Linked DNA regions of Coturnix japonica. The protein of the gene in region 4 purifies or fractionates together with the protein of the main gene of each other region. This does not show direct contact. Links are inferred from orthologs where the notes say so. Each region holds a gene or a part of one and is shown on either strand. Other genes may lie near its edges.

Region 1 (4,046 bases), on a different chromosome or scaffold from region 4:
TGGCAGAAGTGACGGACTTCATAGCAGACATGGGGACCTGGGACAGCCGGCTGGACGGGGCGGGCTGAGCTTCCCCGGCAGATGATGAAGACGACGATGACGAAGACGCAGATGGGGGCTGAGCTGCTTTGTTGAGGTTCTCCTTAACTTTGCTTGCATAACTTATTTTGGGAACGATTTTAGCACTGCTATTGTCCACTGGAAAAACCGGGGGTGGTTTAAATAAGGTCCACGAGTCCTCCTTAGACGCGGCCGACGAAGCGTGCTTCCCTTTGGGCCGCTCATCAAACTTCTTGCCGCTAATCCCAGGTTTGGCATCCGAGTTTTTCCTCTGCACGTCTCCAATTCCTGGTTTCCCCCTGCCCGCCCCGCCGCCCCCCGCCTCGTATTTCCAAACAGGCTTCGTATTCTCAATTCGGTTCCCCTTTTGCTCGCTATAATCAGGCTTGAAACTCTCCAGTTCCTGTTTGAGGGCCGGCGTGCCGACCTCCTGTTGCATTACTTTGTCCTGCGTGAGGTTCAAGCTCTCGCAGCCCTTGGCGCTGTTGCGCCGGCCTTTCCTTTTCTTTGGGGTGGTGTAGCCACTCTCGGAGCCGCTCCCGTCGTTGTCGGCCCCCCCTTTGCCCACGTAGCCATTGGTGATGTAGGTGGCACCGCCGCTCACCACGCCGTTGGGGACGGACACCCCGTCCTGCTTGTCGGCAGGCTGAGCCTCCCTCACTTTGCTGTCGTAGGGCTTCTCATTCTTTTTGTCCATGCTATTTTTCTGAACAAAATTCTTGGGTTTGATGGCGGCTTTCCCCAGAGAGCTGCCCTTCACAGACGGCTTCGGGGTCACGTTGGGGTCTGCGGGCTGCTGGCTGCCATTGGGCACCCTGGACGTGGGGCTGGTGGTCTCCTCTGAGCACAGAGACTTCAGTGACACCTCTCTGTCCCCTGCGTTACCGTTCAGCTCTCCATAGCCTGGAAGAAACCAAGAAGAGACAAAAGAGCAAAGATGAGAATGTGCAGCATTAAAGTTCTGACTGCAACAAGCTGCGCCCCGTTTCCTCAAGGTGTTCTGAAATAGGGAAACATCAGCTCCCCCATAAAACCACCGCAGGAGCACAGCATGGCCTGGGTTGCAAAGGAACGCAATGATCATCTGGTTCCAACCCCCTGCTGTGTGCAGGGTCACCAACCAGGCTGCCCAGAGCCACATCCAGCCTGGCCTTGAATGCCTGCAGGGATGGGGCACCCACAGCCTCCTTGGGCAACATGGGACACACTACAGTGTGTCACCACCCTCTCCTCAGATCCAACCCAAACCTCCCCTGTCTCAGTTTCAACCCATTCCCCCTTGTCCTATTGCTGCCCAATCCACACCATCTCCATCCACACAGAGCAGGGCTGAGCACCACCCATGGATTCACACACAGCACAGGGACAGCAGCGCGTTGTTGGACACAAGGAGCAAAACAAAGCAGGAGGGACACAGGGATGCGAGGAGAGGAAAGCAGGCAGCCCTGCAAAGCCCATCGCAATCCAGAGAGCGATTTCATCAGCACCATTTCCAGGTCACGCAGAGGAAATTCCCAGGATGCTTTAACAGGGGCTGCTCCTCTCAGCCCGGAGCTGGTGGCATCGTGTCCCTGCAGCACCGGGCCGGGCCCACGGCACCTCCAGCACCGCGAAAAGCAGCGCTCAAAGGGGACACGTGCCGGCACAGCAGCAGATTGGGCTGAGCTGCGGTTTGGGGATGGATGCTCTGGTCATCGCCAACGCTGCTGGATGGAGCAGCCCTTATCTGTGCATCCTGGAGCCTCAGATGCGGGGCAGATGTCAGAGCTCCAGGTCTAAGGGATACGGGAATCCTAATGGAAGGGAATCCTTATGGAAGGGAATCCTTATGGAAGGGAATCCTTATGGAAGGGAATCCTTATGGGACCGCACACACGTGGATCCCTCTGACCGCACGTTTGGCCCGGTTCGGTTCGGTTCGGCGTGTCAGCACTTCCAGGCTCCAATTCCCGAGGCCGCTCCGTTCTCTCCCCAAATCAACAACTGGGCCGGGGGGGCGGGGGGGGGGCGGCGAGGAAGGGGCGTGCAAAGGGACGGGGTGTGGGGTAAAGGGGGGTGCGGGGTAAAAGGGGCTGGTCCCGTCCATGCCCCGCGCAGCGCAGGCCCGGCCCGGCCTTTCCCCCCCGTTATCGCTCTCGCCGCCCCACGCGGTCCCGCCGCCCCGCACACCGTGTGTGTCCCGCCCGCTCCCCCCGCACATTCCTCCTGTCCCCGCTCCCCGTCCCGCTCCCCCCGCTCCCACCCCGTCCCGCATCATCCCGCACCGCTCCGCAGCCCCACGTGCCCCGCGCCGCCCGCAGCCGCGCCGGCTCCAACATGGCGGACAGGAAGCGGCCCCAGCGCGGCGGAGAAGCTTCCAGCCGGGCCGGGGGAGGAGGATGATGAAGGATGGAGGATGGATGAAGGATGAAGCCCCCCCCCCAGGAGCCGCCCGCCGCCCCCCGCCCCGCACCTGTTCTCCGCTTGGGCCCCTCCGGGTGTCGGAGCGTCGCTTTGGGCTGGGCCCGGCCGTCGGGCGGCGGCAGGAAGGAGCTCTGCGGGTAATAGCAGAAGTGCCGGTGGTGCGGGTGGTGGTGGTGGTGGTGGTGGTGCCCGTGGTGGTGGTGGTGCGGGTGGTGCGGGGGCTGCTCCTCCATTGGGGGAGGGGAAGGGGGGGAAGAAGCTTTGCGGGGCCGGGCTGGGCGCTGTGTCGCTGCTGGGCCGAGCGGCGGAGCGGGGACGAGGCTCCGGGTGGCGCGGGGGAGGCGGGGGGGGGAGGGATGGGAGAAACGGAGCTGCAATCACAGAACGGCACCGCCCCCAGCACCGCCCCGCAGCGAGGAGAGCGGCGGAACGGGAAGAGGAGAGCGGGGAGGGGGCGGTGCTGGGGAGCGGGGGGATATGGGGGGATATAGGGGGTATAGGGGGATATAGGGGGTATGGGGGGAGCGGAGAGATACCGAGATTCCCGAATAAACGGGGGAGGTTTGGGAGCGCGGAAAGGCGCTGAGCGGGGCGGGGTGGGAAGGCGGCGTGGGGTGAGTCCGAGTGTTTTGCTTCCCCCGGCTTCAATCGCAGCATCACGGTGTGACCCGGCTCGGAACGGAGCCCCAGCGGCGTCCAGCTCAACGCCCGGCTCCGAGCGGCACCGACCCGCCGTCCTTGCCCCCCTCTGCAGCTCCGTGATGTCCGCGGCCAAATGAGCCCACGGGGGACGGTCCCGGCTGGGTAATGGAGCCCCAGAGCTTTGGGGTGTCACTCCACGGCCACGCGGAACAACGCGGACCCCACGTTCCCCACGGACACCCAACGGGGCGGTGGGATTTGGGCTCCATTAGCAGCGCAGGGGGATGGGGGGTCGCCAGGGGGACACACTTGGGATGGAGAGACCCAAAAGTGAGCCCACGTTTTGTCTGGGTCAGATGGAGATCCCCATGCAGGCAGCGCTCAGTGCGGCTTTAACCTCCTGCAGCAAACAGGGCGATAGAATTGAAGCCCATCACAATATCCTCCCAAAGAGTATCCAGAGGGCACAGACCGCCCTTAACCACCACTTCCTACCTTCTCCCACATAACAACCCCATATATTTCAATAAAGCTCAGCTCCGTCCTGCATCACACAGAGCCCCCCCACACCTCAGTGCAGCACAGGGGTTGTCCTCCTGCATAACCCTGCACACAAGGCAAAACTTCCTACTGTGCTGACCTCACTTAGGAAACAGCTCCCGAAGCGAGGAGCCGGGCTTTAATCACAGCTCACATTTTATTGGTGGCTTGGAAGTGGTTTATTCTCAATGTAAGGGACTGGTTTGGAGACAGGAGCTTCAAAGGACTCTGGAGAAAGCGAGTAATTATGGACAAATCATCTCCGCACACAGAGACAGCAGAAATCTAAATGCAAAGCTCAGAGGGATGGCTGGACATGAAGGGACTTTCTCTCCTTAGAAGCTCCGCTCTGTGTGTGCATCACATGGAGCATCCAGAGCAGGAGAAACCAGATGGAAACA
Region 2 (4,221 bases), on a different chromosome or scaffold from region 4:
TGGTTCCAGGGAACAGAAGTGAGATGAATGGGCACTGAGCATTAGGAGCAGTGTGTTCAGTTCCTCACATGACTGTTGTCAGAGAAAGGAAATGGAATCCAGCACAGCAGCCCCACAGTGACCCAAAATGCCCACAAGCACACAGGAGATCACAACCAGAGCTATGGCTGCTTGCCACAGTTCATGTTAGCAGTGAAAAATCATCTACTGACATGACTGTAGGGGCAGAGAGGAGCTTCAGCAGCTTCATTTCATATACTTGTAAAGCCCATATTGTGCTAATCCATTTTTATTTTGCTACATAAAAACCAAAGCACAGAATAAAAGCTGTTTAGTTGAAGCCAGTTTTTAAAGTAAAAGCTAAATCAATTTAGGCAAGAAATATCAGGATAGATGCTATCATTGCAAAAACAGGGCTGAGTGAAATTTACACATAAAGCGTTCTTCCATCTTTAACTCCTGCAGTGGCCTCAATTATATATTTCGATTCCTTGAGACAGAAAACATTCAGAGATGGGATAAATGGCCACTCATTTACACTCAGCAACTACAGAAACCCTGGACTGTCATTCAGGTAAGAGACATTTGTGTTTGGAACAAAATACCTTCTCAAATGATTTGGGCCAGTCATCGCTGTGTATGTTCCTTAGATTCCCTCGGTCTTCAATCTTGTAGTGTCTGATTTTCTGGTCCTCCAGCCAGACAATAAAATTTCTGAATTCCGTTTCATCTGCAGGGAGAAGTAAAAACAGCAACAATTAACCTTAAGGGCAAAACCAACTACCTCGAAATCACACAGCCCAGTGTAACTTCTGACCAAAACTCAACACTCTGAGCTTTCTTCCTTTCTCAAGTGACTTGGAATTGGCCACAGTTAGTGGACAACACTAAAAGGCATCAGCTAAGAGACTGTTTTTATTAGGAATACAAATATAGGTGTTACTAAGCAAAGAAGTAAAACAGTGACACTGAGGATTTCAGTGCCCAACTCTGTTGCGTGGACAAACTCATCACATGCTGCAACAAATCCCTGTCTGTCCCTAAGAACAAAGTGCCCTCATCCCATGACTGTGGAGAAGCATTTTCTTCCCTCTTCTCTTGGTTGTTGAGCCAACATTTCACCATTTGGAGTTGGAACTCCACAATACAAAGACTGTGGTCCAAAGGTTCAGTAATGGACAAAGCAACTTCTCTGCATCTGTGATTTGCAGTATTTGGTACCACCAGCATCTTGAGAACCACCCATGAAACTTTGGCACTGGATGAATTTCAGTGATCTGGATTAATGAGATAAATATCCTCCTGCAGTAGCTCAGGCTGTGATAAGCAAAACGCTTCCCCATCAGGGACAAGGCTGCTGTGCTATTACGACCTGTCAGGAGTGTATCCTCTAAGTGAAACGAACACCCGACTTCCACTGAATGTGCTGTAAGAAACAGCCACAATGTACACACAGGAAAACTCTCAGTAAGAACTTTAACAGCTTCTACACCAACAAAACAAACCTCTGAGGAGAAAGAAACGTCAGCGACGAGCTCAAAATGCACAACACACAAAGCTGGCAGTAAACAAGATCTTTTCAAAGCGCAACGAGCCAACCAGAAGCACTGAGGGAGAGATGATCCCTTACAAAGACCAGTTTGAGTTGAATATAGAGCAGTTTGAGTTGGACAGGACCCTTAAAGGCCATCTGGTCCCACTCCCTGCAACAAACAGGGACACCCACAGCTCCACCAGGTGCTCAGAGCCCCATCCAACCTGACCTTGGGTGTCTGCAGGGATGGGGCACCACCACCTCTCTGGGCAACCTGAGTCGGCACCTCACTGCTCTTACTGTAAAACAACTTAACTTCAGTTCAAATCCCCCTTTTTTAGTTTGAAACCATTTCCCCTTGTCCTGTCACCACAGCCTGATAGAGCCTGTACCCCTTTCTTACAGCCCCTTTAAACACTGGCTCTCAGCTCTCCCTGGAGCCTTCTCTTCTCCGTGCTGTACATCCCCAGCTCTCAGCCTGTCCTCACAGGGAGGTGTTCCATCACTTCTATGGCCTTCCTATGGACACGGTTCTACAGCTCCACATCACCCCCATACACAGCACCCCCCATGTGGACACAGCGCCCCAGGTGAGGCCTCAGAGCGCAGAGCAGAGGAGCAGGATCACCTCGATCACCTCATAGTGCTGCCAGGGGAACTCACAGAATGACCCGGGTTGGAAGGGACCTCAAGGATCACGTATTTCCAACCCCCTGCCCGGCAGGGCCACCAAACATACACCTGTACTAGATCAGGTTGCCCATGGCCCCGTCCAACCCGGCCCTGAACACTCCTGCCCTACTCACACACAGCACAGACCGACCCCGGACCCCCCCCACTAACCAGGGTCAATGAGCAGAGCCCAGCGGCAGCGCCGACCCGGGGCTCCGTCCAGCCCCGAGCAGGCCTCACACAGCACAGCCCGGCCTCCCTGCCTTCAGCTTAGGCCTCTCCGCACACCCCGAGCGCCCCCCGCTGTGTGCAGCCCCAGCCCGCTCCCCCGGCCCTCACCCCTGCAGTTGAAGCCGCCCGGGTTGTGGTAATCGAGCGCCGACAGCTTGCGGCGGAACATGGCGCTGCCACCACGGCCGGACCCGCCGCTCACCGCGCTCAGAACGAGCCGCCGGGTCGGACAGGAAGTACCGCCCCGATACCGTCTAATTCGTCTCCTATTGGTTCCCGTGAGCTGAGCGGCTGTTAAGAAGACCAATCGAAGCACGGAGAAAGCAGACGGGACGGAAGCGGATGTACGACCAGCTGTAACGACGCGGCGGCGGGGGGGGGCAGTGGGGGTGTGGCCTATTTGGGGGCGTGGCCTGTGGAAGGGGGCGTGGCCTGTGCTGGCCTTGGGGGCGGGGCGTGGGGCGATGGAGGGCACTGGGGGGACCTTACAGCCCACCCCCATTGCGGGCTGGGTGCCCACCGTGCTCAGCTGCACTGGGCTCATGTGTGACCTCGGGCACCAGCAGGGCTGGGGTACCAGAGCTGTCTGTGCAACCTGTGCCCGTGTGTTCCTACTGCCTTGTGGGAGCTGACGACCAGCAGAGGGGATTCAGCTTCATAATACGGCTGGATATAATCCTTCATGTTCAAGATCTTGACAGTTGGATAAGATAGTCATTGCGGCATGGCCAGCACTGGGGAAGGGAAGTAGGCATGAGAGGGCAGGGCTTTGCCTTGCCTTGCCTTGCCTTGCCTTGCCTTCCTTTGCCTTGCCTTGCCTTCCTTTGCCTTGCCTTGCCCTTCTTTGCTGCCTGGCCTCCTTTGCTGCCTTCCTTTGCTTGCTTGCCTTCCTTGCCTTGCCTTGCCTTGCCTTCCTTTGCCTTGCCTTGCCTTCCTTTGCCTTGCCTCGTCTTGCACTGCCCTTCTCCAGAGCCCAGACCCCACTCTCTCTCACTCCCAATCCCCCCCACAACCAGCAGGACCCAGCCCAGGTCACCCCCCCTGCAGCCTCCCGTTGCCCCCCATGCCCACACAGCATCACCACCGCAGCCTTGAAACAAATCCCAACTTTATTTCCAACGAGTACACAGACCACGCGGGACGGGGATGTGCTACACCGCGACGCCGACCTCCCCGCGCTGCCTTCCCCCCAACCCCACACCAATGGGCGGAGGGCAAATCCCACACCGATGTTCCATGGGTTTTCCCTTCCATGCCCGGGATGGAGGCAGCTGAGGGCTTTTGTATGGGGAAACGAGCCATATGTGAACGCGGCCGCATTACTCTTTGTTGATGTATTAAGAATTCCTGTTGTAAAAGATATGAGTCATTAAAAAACTTCTTACAAACCATGGCAGCGCTCAGCAGAAATTCGGCATCACAATGACCAAGACAAAGGGGTGGGGGTATTTACACGGCCCGGGAACACCACAAGCGGGGCCGGCCCCGGGCGCTCCATCCCACAGCCAACCGGAGCTAGAAAAAGAGTATGAAAAGGTAGAAAACCCAAAACACACTTGAAACGGGCTAGAAAGATTCTCAGAAAGGTACCTAAAGACTATTGCCCTCTTGGGTAGACGTGGTTTGGGGCTGATGGGGATGTGGCTTAGTGGGTGTGGCGGTGACGGGTTGGCGGTTGGGCTTAATGATCTTAGAGGTCTTTTCTAACCTCAATGATTCTATGATTTTATGGGGTTAATGCGGAGCCCAGAGTACCTTATGGGATCCCAGTGCTACTGTTGGGT
Region 3 (4,045 bases), on a different chromosome or scaffold from region 4:
GATATAAAAAGCATTAAAAAAAAACCTTTTGAAATCTTGACTTACAATCTTAAGACATAGATAACTTTAAGAATCTTAAAAGAAAAATGTATACCTCTTCTTGCGTAATTGGTATCCATATCCTTAAAATGCACCATAACAAAATCTGAAGACTTGAATAAAATACTTTCTAGTATGTCTTCACGTTTTGGCCCCAAACTGGATTCTGCAGTTTTCCGATGAGCAGCATCAAGCACTAAATCACACTAGTAAAGATAAAAAGAATATCCTAATTGGATACACCACACACTACTGGTAACTCACATCCTTGAAAAAAAAGCACACATTTACAGAAATTTGCAAAAGTGAATCTGCATGTGTAAAATTTGACATGGATCAGTCAGAATAATTGATAATAAATATTCCAACTTAATTAAGAATTGATTATACTGTATTAGTACCTTTCAAAAGAGGGAAGAGTCAAAAAGGAAAAAAAAGCCTTTACCTTAGGACTGTAGGTTTTAAAAACTCCTTCATATATACCACCATTTTTCACCTGTACTTCACATTTGGATCCCTAGAATGCAAGAAAAATCCAAGTGTAGCACTCTGTCAAGCCTGACAAATGACACAAGTGATTTTCTCAAAGAATATATATTTACAGAAGCACAATGGGTAAAAACAGAGCTTAGCTTTCAGCTGAATCTACTTTTTCAACATTCGCCCATTTACAAATATGTCTCTGCATGCCACAGATACAAACACTTTGGTATGTCCCAGACTTTATTAAAGATCCTCACGGAAGTATTTTCAGCACACACAAGACTTTTGATTAGCTATGCATGCATGCAAACAAGTCTCTGTGCAAAAACAAATCCATGCATATGCACAGGTACAGGTAAGGTTAAGTTTTATCCCAGATTCCAGCTGCCATGGGACGGTCCGTATCACCAAGTTTTTAACACAAGGGATGAAGGGTTTCTATTCCCTATATATAAATTCATTGCTTATTCATAATCTCTCTGGAGACAGAAAATTCAAAACACGACCAATGAGCGTAAGAAATCTGCCATCCCAAATATAATCTGCAGTTTTCCAAGCCAAAAATACACAATAGCTATTACTATGACTGTTTAAATTTCAATCTTGGAACAAGATGCCCACTGCTGAACTTTAATATTCACTCCATTATATTACAATTAGTGTAATATTTAACAATTCTCTGTCACTATAGAAACTGTTTACACGCCTTGCAAATATGAAGACTTACAACAACTGATGTAAGTATGTGAACCATTCTCATGTTTGCATAGATGCCATCAAAAGAAATCTGAAAAAAAAAAATATAATAATGAAGTTGTCATTTTTATGGGAAACACTCATAATTCAGAAAGGCAATGAGACAAGAACAAAGTCAGCTCTCAGCAGTAAATAGTAGCTGCTAGAAAGACAATGGTCAAAAAACCTTACTTGGTCAGTATACATTGAATTTAAGTCACAGCAAATGCCCAGAGGATTCTACCCTTTCTCTGATCGATTAAATATCAGATCACCCTTAAAAACATGAGAAACCTTACAGTGTGCCTCAACCCAATGTAAACTGGGGTAGAACTCACATACCAAGTCTCACAACTGGGAAGCCCTGCTAGCAGCCCTCCCTGGGAACAGGAACAAGGCACCTCAACTGCTGCAGTAGGAGAAATGTTCCCTGAACTACATCTTTGCAGCAAACAGACTTGATAACATGCACTAACAGGAGATGAAGTCATCAAGTTGTGAACTGCTAAAGAGCTACAAGGCCTATTATAAAACTAGTCAAAAAACATTCACCACAGTTCTAGAACATGGGAACCAATGCGTTTAAGGATGGTCCTGTGCTCAACACTCAGTAAGCCTAACATACAGAAAGCCTAACACTTCCTACTTGTGCATCACCTTTTTCACTGCTCTCCCTCATAGCCTCTTTATTTTTACTGAAGAGACTCATTATCTTCAATATACACTTACAGAGGTAAACTGTAGTCCTTTCAGCCCTTCCTACTCCTGCCCCATTCCCTAGAATTAGTCATCCTTGAGAATCAAGCCACTACCAAATTAGCAAATATTTGATTAGTGCAGTTCAAAGATCCGTTTTTTAAATCAAGACCCAGATCTTCACCTTCCACAAAACATTCTACAAACCAAGTTACATCTAGAGTGCAACAGTGTTTTAGCCTCGACAATAACTAAAGCTACAAACACAGGTAACAGAGGCTTAGCTACAATAACATTGGGTTAGCTATTTTGTAGTAAAGCTGAACACAATTGCTACTTCACTTTAACATAGTGTTGTCTCACCATCTTCAGTCCTCTGTTTAAAGAAGTCAGTATAGAGAGTTTCCACAGAGGCAACACTTTTGAATCTGTTCCCAAGTTAAATTTTATCCATGTATTTGCAATTATAATCACAAGAAAGATTTTTATTGGCATGTTTCAAACGTGTAAGAGTTCCTTCTCTCCCCGTTCTCCCAGGAGACTTAGATCATAGAATCAGAGACTGAGATGAATGCAAGATATTCTACATTTAAAAAAAAAAAAGTCTAAAATACTCATTGAGGTATCAAAAGGAAAAAAAAATTATGAGTATTCCACAATGTGCCATTTTCACACTGCTAAGAAAGGTCATCAGAAAAGATGTTTCCTTGTATCTAAAGAGGAAACAACAAGGAAAAAATACTCACTGTGGGCTGAGGAGGTCCTTTGCCACTGCTGCGACCTCTGAAAGAAAACACAGACAAAAGAAACAATTAAGAAATGTTGAAAAGGATTGATTTCTTAACAAATAAGAATTCAAAAACCCAATTTAACTTTGTGCTGAGAATGAGAGCAAAGAGAGCTCAAACTTAGCAGTAACGGAGCCTATAGCATCTATCCCTCAAATTACTGACCTACAAGCAATATCAGTAAATGGGTAAAAAGGTTACCTACAATAAATGGCAAAACAAAGAAAATACTAATGCTGTGTCATTACAAAAATCCAAAAATATTCTCTCTCAAGTAGAGTCCTGTAGCTAAGGGAAGTTCCAAAACCTATTGGTGCAGAGAACCTAAACTGCTTCACTGCACTTCCAGGCAATTTTTGCAGCCAATTCTCTAGGCCTGGTTTCTCCACACTGCCACCATCCTTCTCTGTTGAGGGTCACCCAAACAGCTGCCCACAAGGCCCAGTTCTCAGTCTCTACTTACAGCTTATGTGCTTGTAAGAGAGCACCAGCCACACACAGCCCCTTAAAACCAGTAACCACACACAAATCAGTGAACACATAACAACCTCAACACTTCAAAATGCCTTTAAATTAACTCGTAGACTCTTAATGCTCTGCAAACTGAGATGTAACAGTCTGTCCCTTTCAACTCAGCCCTAGAAGTGCCAACAACATCCCTGCAGCTGCCATAAAACCTCAGGCTGCCTGGTGTGCTTCATGTCCTCACATCCAAGCTCCCTCTGTACAAGAAGCAGCCCCAGTTCCAACCACTTTTTTGTAGTGATTAAGGTTTGTACAACAATAGGAAGCCCCACTTTCAAATCTTTCTTGTGATGACTGAGATTTGTATCACAATGACGACCTTAAGAGTGCACCCAACGAGAGTAAGGCAAAATGAAGTCTTCAATTTTATTTACGAAAACATCCATTTTTGCAACTGACTCACCTTCCAGATGCACATCCATTTGATCAGAGACCCAAAGAATCATGTTCATGTTTCAAAACAGTCAAACAATGCTGAAACCTAAACATCAAATGTGTTCAAATGCGTCTGAAAGCACTGTGCTGTAGCTGAAGGCAGCTGTGCTCCAAACCATGCCCTTATTATGAGCAGGACTCACAAGCTGGCCAAGGAATTCTCATGAGCACAAATTCTGCAGAAATCAGCAAGTCCATCGGAGGAGCAGAAATGTCCATAGCAAGGAAAAAACAAAACCAAAGCCCCACTGACCTATCACCTGAGCAGTTGGAGAAAGCAAGATTCTGAGCCCAGTGTGCCATCCTGTACAGCATCGCTCCCACCGATGACATTTGCTGATTGG
Region 4 (2,602 bases):
AAAAGAAAGTGGGAAGACAGATGTGAATATAATCAGATCATATATACGCTTTACTAGGAATATGGCACTGCCCACTGCCCTGCTGCTGATGTGTATTCTGTTAACTTAATTCCATTATCAGTACTGAGTGTCCTTCAAGACTAACAAAAATTAACAAAGTACCCTGCTTCTGTGAGATCTTACAACTCTTAAGACAGTTGTTCCTTTCTCTTTACAGGTGCTAATGGGCAGAGTACCTGATAGAGGAGGAAGGCCCAATGAAATTGAACCACCACCTCCTGAGATGCCACCCTGGCAGAAAAGACCAGAGGCTGGTCCACAACAAGGTGGTGGCCGAGGAGGAAGAGGTGGCTATGAATCCTCATATGGAGGGCGAGGAGGTTATGACCATGGAGGTCATAGCCACGGTGGTCATGACCGAGGAGGAAGAGGAGGTCATGAACGAGGGGGTCATGATCAAGGAGGCCATGATCGAGGAGGGCGAGGAGGACGTGGCGGTTATGATCATGGTGGCAGAGGAGGTGGAAGAGGAAACAAACTCCAGGGAGGGTGGACAGATGGTGGAGGTGGTGGCTACCAGGATGGCAACTACAGGGATAGCAATTACAGAGATGCAGGTTTTCAGACGGGTGGCTACCATGGTGGTGGCGGTGGCTATCAAGGAGGAGGCTATGGTGGCTACCAGTCATGTTCATACACGGGAAGTGGCTACCAAGGAGGTGGTGGCTACCAGCAAGACAACAGATACCAAGATGGCGGGTCCCACAGTGACCGAGGGGGTGGCCGTGGAGGAGGGCGGGGTGGCCGTGGTGGGCGGGGTGGCCGTGGCGGTCAAGGAGGAGGCTGGGGAGGCAGAGGTGGACAGAATTTTAATCAAGGTGGGCAATTTGAGCAACATTTCCAGCATGGAGGCTATCAGTATAATCAGTCTGGTTTTGGACAAGGAAGACATTTCACAAGTTGAGGCTGCTAAAACCTTTTGCTTCAGCAGAGCTCAGATAATAAAACCTTGTTTCAGAGTCCTGATTTAATCACTTTTGAATTAGTACAGGTTTGTATGTGTCAGGCAGAATCTTTTGGGGTGGGATGTTATGTGCTGAACTAAGTACAGCTTTCTGTAGACTTTCCTTCCCCCCCAGTCTGTCTGAATTGAATGTGTCATAACTACTCACTGCACTCCACCTAATCGTAAATTAATAGTCATGCTCTTTTGTTGTTGTATTGACATCTGCTCAAAGTACATTGATTCCAAAACTACCTGCTGTGTTTTGCTTGACACTTTGATTTGAGAAAAATGAAGACTGGTCTAGTCACAATTATATGTTGCAATATACAATGGAATTTCTGCATCCCCTAGCCATTGTTCAGTTACATGACCTAAAATCAGTGCTGAATATTGCTTTTGGATTGCTGTCCTGTTTTAATCAAAGTTACACACACATGCAGGCCCACAGAGCAACTTCCCTCTAACAGACAGGTTTGTTATCTATTATATGAGCTCTGCTGTAGATGTCACATTTGGTAGCCTTATCTTACATCAAACCATTTTTTTCCCACCTTCTCAAGTCTGAAGACTTACCGCCGCCAAAATCTGCAAAGATCACTTAAAACTAAGCTAAATTGTGAACTGGTAGTGTACATAGGCCTGTAGTTAGGTGTAGCAATTCAAACTGACCTGCATCCATCCAAAACAAGTTGCTCCTCCTTCAAACTTAATTTTTTACTTGAAATCAGCTAGAAGAAAAAACAAAAAGTGAAATTATTTTATTTGCAAGTTAATACCACTGGCTCAGCAGATCCAGGGCAATTTGTTTTGGGGGTTGTCTTTTTTAAAGAAATGCACTACGGCCTGGGAAGTTTAGTTCCTGCCTGGAGGAAGCCCTTTGATTATTGCTGCAGAAAACAAAGCCTGGCTGAGTTTGATGTTCTAATGTGTTGGGTTTGGTTTGTTTTGTTGTTTTTTTTCCTTTACTGAAAGCCACATAATGCTTCTTGCTGGGTTTTTTGTGTACATAAACATTGTCAAGCTGTGAAAGAAAATGGCTGAAGGTTTGCTGTTGTATAAAGGGTGAGCAATAAAAGTGTCTGTATGTTCCCCTCTGCTTTTGGTTTCTTTTCCTTCTGGTGATGAGTAAAAAGCAGTTTCTGCAGTAGGTGGGAACTCTTTTAGGTATTTCTGATTGTTTCACCTAGTTTTTGTTTTAATCTCTTAGGCGGTCAAATCATCTCAGGCGTACTGTGCATTTTGCCTCCTTAAAAGCTGTCAGAACAGGAGTGAATGGTAGGAATGGATCTTCATTGTTTTGGGGTTTGTCCTCATCCTTCTCTGATTTGGTGTAGCAGTAGTGTCTCCCTCACTAGAGGTTTCCATGTGAATTAAGCTCTGCCATCGTCAGGCTATGGCTCCTTCATGACACATGTACATGGTATGCATCTGGGAGCTCTTCTGATGCTGTCTGGGCTTGTGGCAAGGTTAGGTTCTTGCCTGGGTAGCTGTAGTAGAGACTGACCTGGTGGCAATCCCTTGGGCTACTTGAAACATCCAGAGGTCTGAATTTAGATGGATGCAGATAGAAGTTCCTCGGATTACTGAAATAATATG

Evidence for each region. Proteins that work in one complex are often made in the same cells at the same time.
Region 1: the proteins of FAM98A (region 4) and NUFIP2 purify together in Homo sapiens (co-immunoprecipitation; 3 studies listed by BioGRID and IntAct, with this or other methods). This does not show direct contact. The link is inferred for Coturnix japonica from reciprocal best matches to the Homo sapiens genes FAM98A and NUFIP2.
Region 2: the proteins of FAM98A (region 4) and RTRAF purify together in Homo sapiens (affinity purification with mass spectrometry; 4 studies listed by BioGRID and IntAct, with this or other methods). This does not show direct contact. The link is inferred for Coturnix japonica from reciprocal best matches to the Homo sapiens genes FAM98A and RTRAF.
Region 3: the proteins of FAM98A (region 4) and ATXN2 purify together in Homo sapiens (co-immunoprecipitation; 3 studies listed by BioGRID and IntAct, counting the BioPlex papers as one, with this or other methods). This does not show direct contact. The link is inferred for Coturnix japonica from reciprocal best matches to the Homo sapiens genes FAM98A and ATXN2.

What each region holds. Positions count from the first base shown.
Region 1 is NC_029534.1:4,761,208-4,765,253, forward strand, and holds the start of NUFIP2 (nuclear fragile X mental retardation-interacting protein 2), read right to left. Parts: upstream 2,807-4,046; 5' UTR 2,697-2,806; coding exon 2,513-2,696; exon of another isoform or gene 2,266-2,512; intron 964-2,265; coding exon 1-963. UniProt on the Homo sapiens protein: Binds RNA.
Region 2 is NC_029520.1:52,699,821-52,704,041, reverse strand, and holds the start of RTRAF (RNA transcription, translation and transport factor protein), read right to left. Parts: upstream 2,807-4,221; 5' UTR 2,607-2,806; coding exon 2,546-2,606; intron 731-2,545; coding exon 606-730; intron 1-605. UniProt on the Homo sapiens protein: RNA-binding protein involved in modulation of mRNA transcription by Polymerase II. Component of the tRNA-splicing ligase complex and is required for tRNA ligation.
Region 3 is NC_029530.1:5,336,597-5,340,641, forward strand, and holds the start of ATXN2 (ataxin-2), read right to left. Parts: upstream 2,807-4,045; 5' UTR 2,700-2,806; intron 1,310-2,699; 5' UTR 1,283-1,309; coding exon 1,250-1,282; intron 557-1,249; coding exon 485-556; intron 246-484; coding exon 95-245; intron 1-94. UniProt on the Homo sapiens protein: Involved in EGFR trafficking, acting as negative regulator of endocytic EGFR internalization at the plasma membrane.
Region 4 is NC_029518.1:27,930,547-27,933,148, forward strand, and holds the end of FAM98A (protein FAM98A), read left to right. Parts: intron 1-217; coding exon 218-964; 3' UTR 965-2,102; downstream 2,103-2,602. UniProt on the Homo sapiens protein: Positively stimulates PRMT1-induced protein arginine methylation. Involved in skeletal homeostasis. Positively regulates lysosome peripheral distribution and ruffled border formation in osteoclasts.